Linked DNA regions of Saccharomyces cerevisiae S288C. Changing the gene in region 1 together with any one later gene gives a genetic interaction. Each region holds a gene or a part of one and is shown on either strand. Other genes may lie near its edges.

Region 1 (4,234 bases):
TAGAAACGATGGACAGAACGAACGAAACAATTAATGCGCTATTCAAATACATGTTGCTGATCTGCCTCTTCGATTTAATATCCTTCGGTTCAACTAATTCTCTTCTGTAAAAATGCTTCATCCAATGATCTTTTTCAATCTCATCCAATGTTTTCTTGTGAACAACTGAGTTGGTCAATCCATCTTTGTAATTCAAATTGGTAACAAACCCGCCTATCTTGTTCAGGTCTTCGTTATCATCAGCTATTGTTACACGATACCTTGGTAAAACAACCAGGGGATTCCAAGAAGCTAAATGTGATAGGTTTCTGAAAAGTGAGTTGAGAAAGTAGGAGTAGACAAATGTGCCAGCTGGGATATTTAGCAGTGTTATATTAAAATTCAAAATTTTCACCACATATTTTAGCCAGTTTAGGTGTAGTTTCTTGATCACAAAATAGAGAGCGAGTAAAGTACAGCCACTAGTTAAGGGCAGTATAATCGCATGTTTTTCATCCATCATATCGAAAAACCTCTTGCTTTTCTTCTTTTTCTTTTTATCTTCGTCATTCTCGCGGTAGATAACATGACAGTCGTGGTCCACATCAAAATCTGTAGGATCAAACAATGAGTGTTCTCTCGTAGGAGGTAGAGCTGTAAATGGAATAGAAGAAATAGACGTAAATGAGCCAATAACGACCAAAGCACTTGCGATGAGAACTAAAGTGGCGTAGTTGAATACTAAAGAATGGCTTTCCACCAAGTGTGTAATCTTGTGAGCAACGCGATATGATATCTTATCAAAGGCAGTGGTTAATTTGTTATTGTGGTTTTCAACTATAGCATTGATCTGTTCAAAAACTTGTTCTAATTCCTTGTTCGACGCACTTTGGTTAGCGCTTGATGAATTGTTCCTAAAGGCACGAGATGACCACTCTGAAAGGTGGTCAACAAATGAATTCAAATACTTGTCCATCGTGTATGAGTTTGTTCCCCATTATAGATCTGTAGTATTGCTCAAAAAGGGAGCACTTTACAAATCTTGTCCTAAATACTCCCATTCGGAGAGGGGTTCTTTTTTTTCCGGTGCCTCAAAATCCTTTTTTTTTTGATGGCGCAAAAGACACTTAAGAAAAGTGAATACTTTTTATAAACGTAATCCTATAAAACATGAAAAGAAGGATTACGGAACGTCTGCCTGATTCACTTATATATACTATATAGATGGTAAAAATCTAACGTTTCCGTTGTTTCTTCCATTTAAATGAAATTTTTCCTGAAGAGTCTACGATTTTTTTCTTGGAACCCTTCTTCAACAATTCTCTTTGAGCATCCATTCTTTGTTGGACCTGTTTCAATTGAGTTTCCCTCTGTAAGTGCTGCTTGACTTGCTTGAACTTTTTCAATTTCTTTTTGTCTAATGATTCCTTTGGCATTATTGATGAAGCGTTCCTATTGTTTGAAATATCTTGGGCTAATTGGTCCTTAGTTAATCTATTTTCAGATCTATTCACCATCTCGGAGGTGGTATTGAAAAACTTCTCTGGGGTGAATTCGTTCATCTTCTCTCGGGAATCGACGAATATTGTATGATTCCCACTGCTTTTGAACATCAACTGTTTCGCTCCTTTCTCCAGCTTTTTCAGCTCTATTTGCCTCAGCGTCCTCACATAATTACTATCTTGCGTTTTGAGTAATTTAACTTGATCCATGGAAAGCGATTCGTCTTCTTCGTCACCGTGACGTGAGCTGATCAGCAGTCCTTTTGCATCTGTCTTCCTTGAATGCATAGCATGGTAGTATTCATCTGGATTTCTCTCTTTTGCTTTTTCTCTGAGGACTTTCAAAGTGGACTGCTTCCTGTGGAAGTCTTGAGCACGTTTCACATAGTCTTTATGCTTTTCTAAAAACCCATATCTGGAACGGCTAGTTAGCTGAGAACGTTCTCTATGCTGCTTTTTCTGAACATCATGTACAAGTTTAGCCATATCTTTTGTCTGTTGTTGGCTGTAACGAACTAGAAAACCCCACTAGTATTATTCGATGATATGCAACTTGCTCTTATTGTAGTTTCTTAGCATTGTTTTCTTTACTCTTTTTCTTCAAATCGCGATGAGCTCATCTAGCCATAAAAAAATTTCATCTTTTACGTGCATAACGACAAACCTTTAAGCCTTAGAGGACTTGGTGATGTGCTCCTTTATAACAACGATTACTTCCATTGAACAGCAACACCTGCAAAATCGGAGCTGCAAAATTATTGATTGGATGTGGCAAAAATAGGAATGGGCGATCATAATCTGCCGGATTTTCAGACATGTTTGAAGTTTTCTGTTACAGCTAAAAAGAGCTTTCTATGTATGTATAGAGACAGCGTCTCAAAGGAAAAATTAGCCTCTTCGATGCCAAGTACTTGTGATATACAACTGAAGAGGGCAATCAATGACGCTTATCCGGGCGGAGGAATAAAGGTCACGGTTCTGAACTCAACAACTGCAAGCTTGGACTCGTTAGCAACTACACATGTTAAGGAATTTGAGATTGTTATCATTCCAGACATAAATTCTCTTTTACAGCCAGACCAAGCGAAATTAGTAAAAATTATGAGAGATTGCACAGTGGCGATTGAGAAGGCACAGTCAACACGTATATTTATAGGAGTGGTTCATTGGAATAATCCCGTGCAGCCTTCAGGCGCCGCTAAGGATGGGGATGAAGCAGGTAAACCAGCTCCCAAAACTCGCATCTTCCTGCCCACGTCTTTCCGTATGGGCGCTTGGCTCAAACACAAATTCTGGTTTGCATGTGCACCCCCATATTTGGATTTTGAAAGTTCAACTGAGTCTAGCATTAATACAAGAGCCAATAATAGCATTGGTATGGCTGAGGAAGAGAAGCAGGAGCCAGAGAGCAAGAGGTCGATCATATTAAATGAAGAGGCAAATCTGAACGATGTATTTGTGGGGTCCACTGTAAGACGGTATATTCTCGATATCATGGTCCATTTGCGAACGCATAGATTGACGTATAACGCCAAAGCCGGCGGGGTATATACAAATTCATTGGACGACGTGGTGTTATTGTCTAGATTAATTGGTCTACATAGCGGCAAGATGTTTGTGTCACCTTCACATGTCAAAGAGGCGTCCAGGTGGTACTTCCCCATGCACTTGGAATTGGTTCAGCGTTCCTCCATGGATAGTTCCTTATTGTACGGTAGCGACCCCAACTTGGTGGACGAAATGCTAGAGAAACTTGCGAAGATTAAGTGTGAGGAGGTTAATGAGTTTGAGAATCCCCTTTTCCTGGAATCTCTCGTAGTGAAAAACGTACTAAGTAAAGTCGTGCCGCCCGTGTAAGTTTATTATGTATTTCGAGCATGCATCTGGAACCTATGTTTACATACGTACAAACGGTATTTAAAAGTTTCTATTCTTAGCGTCAATTGCCCTTTATCGTTTTGTTAACCAATTGTTGTTTTTATTCATTATGCCATGACCCGAAAAATGAGCAAAATCGGTCAAAGTAAATAGCTAAATATTTGGTCTAAAAAGTAAGAGAGAAATGAAAATGGCAAGGCTTAACTACTTTGCAATAGTGTATATAGACATTACCAATTGAGTCCAGCAACGAAAGATTCCGCTTGCACTTGGTCAATCATTTACTGACCATAATACGAAGTAATAGAGATGCTACTAAAAGATGACCATGCGATTACAATTTACAATAGACAATTAAGCGCAAGGACAATCAGTATGCATTCCATTTCTAATAGACAAGGTGCTATGAGTGAATTGCTAGCCTCCCCTTTTTATTTTGTGCGGTCACCGCAAGGGACAAAGCTTTTCTTAGAAAACCGTCTGAGAAGCATAACGTACGCCATCCCCTAGACATATTAATAATGCTACAGATACTATGCTGCTCGTCTTTTTTTGACGACCCTTTTATTGCAATGTGCAACTAATGGCAAACAACCACATAGTATCACAGTATTACATTGCCTCCACCGATGCGGATGTTAGGGCGCCAAGTCTGTCATGAAGCATGTTCCTGTCATAATCTTGTATGCAAAATACCGCGTTCTGCGCCACTGATATGCTAGGCAGCAGCAACCTATGCAGAAGATTGCTTTTCCCACGCCTGTTTTACGTCTCCAGGGCACTTGAAACAATGCAGCGATCGCCGCCACAACACGCCAAAGAGAAGCGAAAGTGGGCCTGGGCGGCCTCAGTTTCGGCAGAGGTAAACAACACGA
Region 2 (3,542 bases), on another chromosome or scaffold:
GCCGAGCGGTCTAAGGCGCCTGATTCAAGCAATATCTTGACCGCAGTTAACTGTGGGAATACTCAGGTATCGTAAGATGCAAGAGTTCGAATCTCTTAGCAACCATTATTTTTTATCTTTTTGGTTCTGTGATCAAGCTACCCGCGTTTGAAGCCGACTAAAGACGAGAAAAATTAGACCTTCATTTTTGCCTGTTTGCTGCATGTAAAAGAATGTTGGTTGAACATGTCGTTTAAGAGAAGAAATCGGGTACGGCGCTCTGGCTTTTAAAATTGAAGAAATTGGTGTTCTTCCGGTTAATACTTTGAACTCGGCTTTTCTTAACATGTAATAAAGTTTGTTACATCTCCCATAATTAAGTTTCTGGAACACGCATTGTTCTATTTTTAGACGGGAGACCAGAACTTCCTGATATATGACCGCTTTTTAGTGACTACGTATACTTTCTTTCTGCAATTACGTGTAAGAAAAAATTGATTTTTTATTTTTAAATTCACGGAATTTCAGACTGTGAAAACTTTGTAGTTCCAACTCACTTTGCTATGCAAGAAAATAATGAGGGGAAACAAAAAAAAAATGAGAGCGGAGAAAAGAACAATGCAGCTCAAGTATGAAGAAGAAAGTCACAGCAACGGAAATAAAAATCAAAATTGCGAAAATTGACAATCTTGACAATCGAAGCGGAAAAACAATGGAAGGTCCAGATACCTGTTGACCTTAAAAATGCAGAAAAATCGCCTTTATACGGCGACATTGTGAAAAATGACGTTAAAATCTTGTACATAAAAAAAGGGAATTACAAACTTGTAGTGTTTTTTTTTTTTAGGGGACTTGCATGAAAGTTAAATTTTATAGAAGTAATTAAATAGTCGATTTCCTTTCCTGTGTGTGACGAATCTAGATTTTTTTCATGTAAGAGACCCCGCCCTGCGGAGAGGGGCAAACAATTCTAGCAGAAAAAAATCAGTGGAAAAAAAAAAGAAATTCCGGATATGATAGAATATTTCTTCGAGAAACCTTTTGGATGAGGAGTGCCCTTCCATGAAGAAATTCTTCCTGCATCAGCACCTTCCCGGCAAGGCATTTCATTTTTTTTTTCCGAGAAGAAGATTTTTAAGTGGGCTACCCCACGCTTTCGGTGCCTATGGTAGCTGCATGATCACACAATGCACTCCCATTAAGAGTTTGTGAAGTGCATGAGATTGACATCTCGGCGTCCCTTAGTTTCCTGTCGGATTTTCAGTTATATGGAGTGGGTGAAGTCATTATCCGAATATTCGCGGATCATTGACGTATAAATACTTCATACTACTTCATACCAGATATTTCCTACATGTTGAAAGTCAATTGAAAAAAATAAATCATCACTTAACTCTTTTCCAGTGACACATCGCAAAGATTACTCAAATAATCTTCCTAAAACAATACTACCAGCATCTATTTCATGCAGCACCAAGCACAGAGGCTACATATCATATAAAATAAGTCATCATAGAGAAAAAAATGTCAGTAAACCCAGAATTTATAGCCGATGGCATCGATTTTTATCCAACAACGCCCGATGCCGCGTATTTCAATGCCGCTGATGGTAAAAATAAAGTTAACAGGATAAATGGTAACTCAGAAAATTTACACCACTCCTTTGCATCGGGTTGCCGTAGATCATCTCTTTCAGTCGACTTTAATGTTACCTCGTCCGATTCAGAAAAAAGTGAACAGAGCTGCTTGGAAAACAACTCTCAAGAAGACGAATATTTTTGTGACATTTTTTCCACTGAATTAAAATTAGATGAAACTTCTAACAAGTCAACCGATTATTCCAGTTCAAATCACCAGTATCCTGAACAACTGGAGTTGCACAATTATAAACTGCTCAATAAAATTGGTGAAGGGGCATTTTCCAGAGTATTTAAAGCAGTAGGCATCAACACGGATGACCAAGCTCCTGTTGCCATCAAAGCAATCATAAAGAAAGGCATTTCGAGCGATGCCATCTTAAAAGGGAATGATAGAATCCAAGGTTCCAGCAGAAAGAAAGTCTTAAACGAAGTTGCCATCCACAAACTGGTTTCGAAAAATAATCCGCATTGTACAAAATTTATCGCATTCCAGGAATCGGCGAACTACTATTACTTAGTGACGGAGTTAGTCACAGGTGGGGAAATATTTGATAGGATCGTCCAACTAACATGCTTTAGTGAAGACTTAGCTCGTCATGTCATTACTCAGGTAGCAATTGCAATTAAACATATGCACTACATGGGTATTGTGCATCGTGATGTCAAACCAGAAAACCTACTATTTGAACCTATCCCATTTTATGGCCTTGATGGGGACATGCAAAAAGAAGACGAGTTTACATTAGGTGTCGGCGGAGGCGGTATTGGTTTAGTGAAGCTAATGGACTTCGGACTAGCCAAGAAACTTCGGAACAATACCGCAAAAACTCCCTGCGGAACGATAGAATACGTCGCATCAGAAGTATTCACCTCCAAACGATATTCCATGAAAGTTGATATGTGGAGTATTGGCTGCGTACTATTCACGTTATTGTGTGGATATCCTCCGTTTTACGAAAAGAACGAAAAAACATTATTGAAGAAAATATCGAGAGGAGATTACGAATTCTTGGCGCCATGGTGGGACAACATAAGTTCTGGCGCTAAGAACGCAGTTACCCATCTTTTGGAGGTTGACCCAAACAAGAGATACGATATCGATGACTTCCTAAATGATCCTTGGTTAAATTCGTACGATTGTTTGAAGGATTCAAACTCAAATTCTTATGCCAGCGTGCAAAGCATACTAAATGATTCATTCGATGAGAGAGCAGAGACCCTACATTGTGCATTAAGCTGCCAATCTGAAAAACAAGATGACACCGAGTTTTCCAGAAGTGAAAGCTCGGAATACATATTTATGACGGAAGAAGACAGAAACCTACGGGGCAGTTGGATCGGTGAGCCAAAAGAGTGTTTTACCTTAGACCTTGCAACATCTTCTATATACCGAAGAAGGAAGAACAAGATATTCTTCTGGTAAACTCTTATCCAGTGGAAAACGCACCCAGCATATTCGAAAATATATCAACTGTCTCCCCTTTTTATACTAATAATTAATAGCATTCATATTGAAATAATAAAAAAGATACGTTTAATATTTACGCCAGCTCTCTAGTTACAGTTTCCTAACGCATACGTCATCAATTTGTTAAGATCGGCTTCGCTCTATAAAAATGTCGGCCGAAATTAGCATAGGATTTTCCGCGGTTCCGACCCCTATCCTAGAAACACGGAAAAACTTGCGAATAATTCCGGAATTTATTCTATGCAACTTTATGAAGACAAATTACTATAAATGAACCGCTCATTCAGAAAAACTATGTCTCGAGCTCAATGGATCTTACTACATAGTTTATAAAAACAGTAATTGTGCATTGTACAACTGTGCTAAACAGACTTAAAAAAGTAATAATTATGACTACTGATACCACTGTTTTCGTTTCTGGCGCAACCGGTTTCATTGCTCTACACATTATGAAC

Evidence for each region. A genetic interaction does not mean that the proteins touch.
Region 2: mutations in MTC2 (region 1) and RCK1 together harm fitness more than expected from each alone (negative genetic interaction), as found in Saccharomyces cerevisiae (2 studies listed by BioGRID).

What each region holds. Positions count from the first base shown.
Region 1 is NC_001143.9:254,506-258,739, forward strand, and holds MTC2 (Mtc2p), read left to right. Parts: upstream 1-2,264; coding exon 2,265-3,338; downstream 3,339-4,234. Other genes in the region: YPF1 (aspartic endopeptidase), read right to left, coding at 1-955; rRNA-processing protein UTP11, read right to left, coding at 1,215-1,967; YKL097C (uncharacterized protein), read right to left, coding at 3,998-4,234. UniProt on the Saccharomyces cerevisiae protein: May be involved in telomere capping.
Region 2 is NC_001139.9:205,530-209,071, forward strand, and holds RCK1 (putative serine/threonine protein kinase RCK1), read left to right. Parts: upstream 1-1,503; coding exon 1,504-3,042; downstream 3,043-3,542. Other genes in the region: carbonyl reductase (NADPH-dependent) ARI1, read left to right, coding at 3,477-3,542.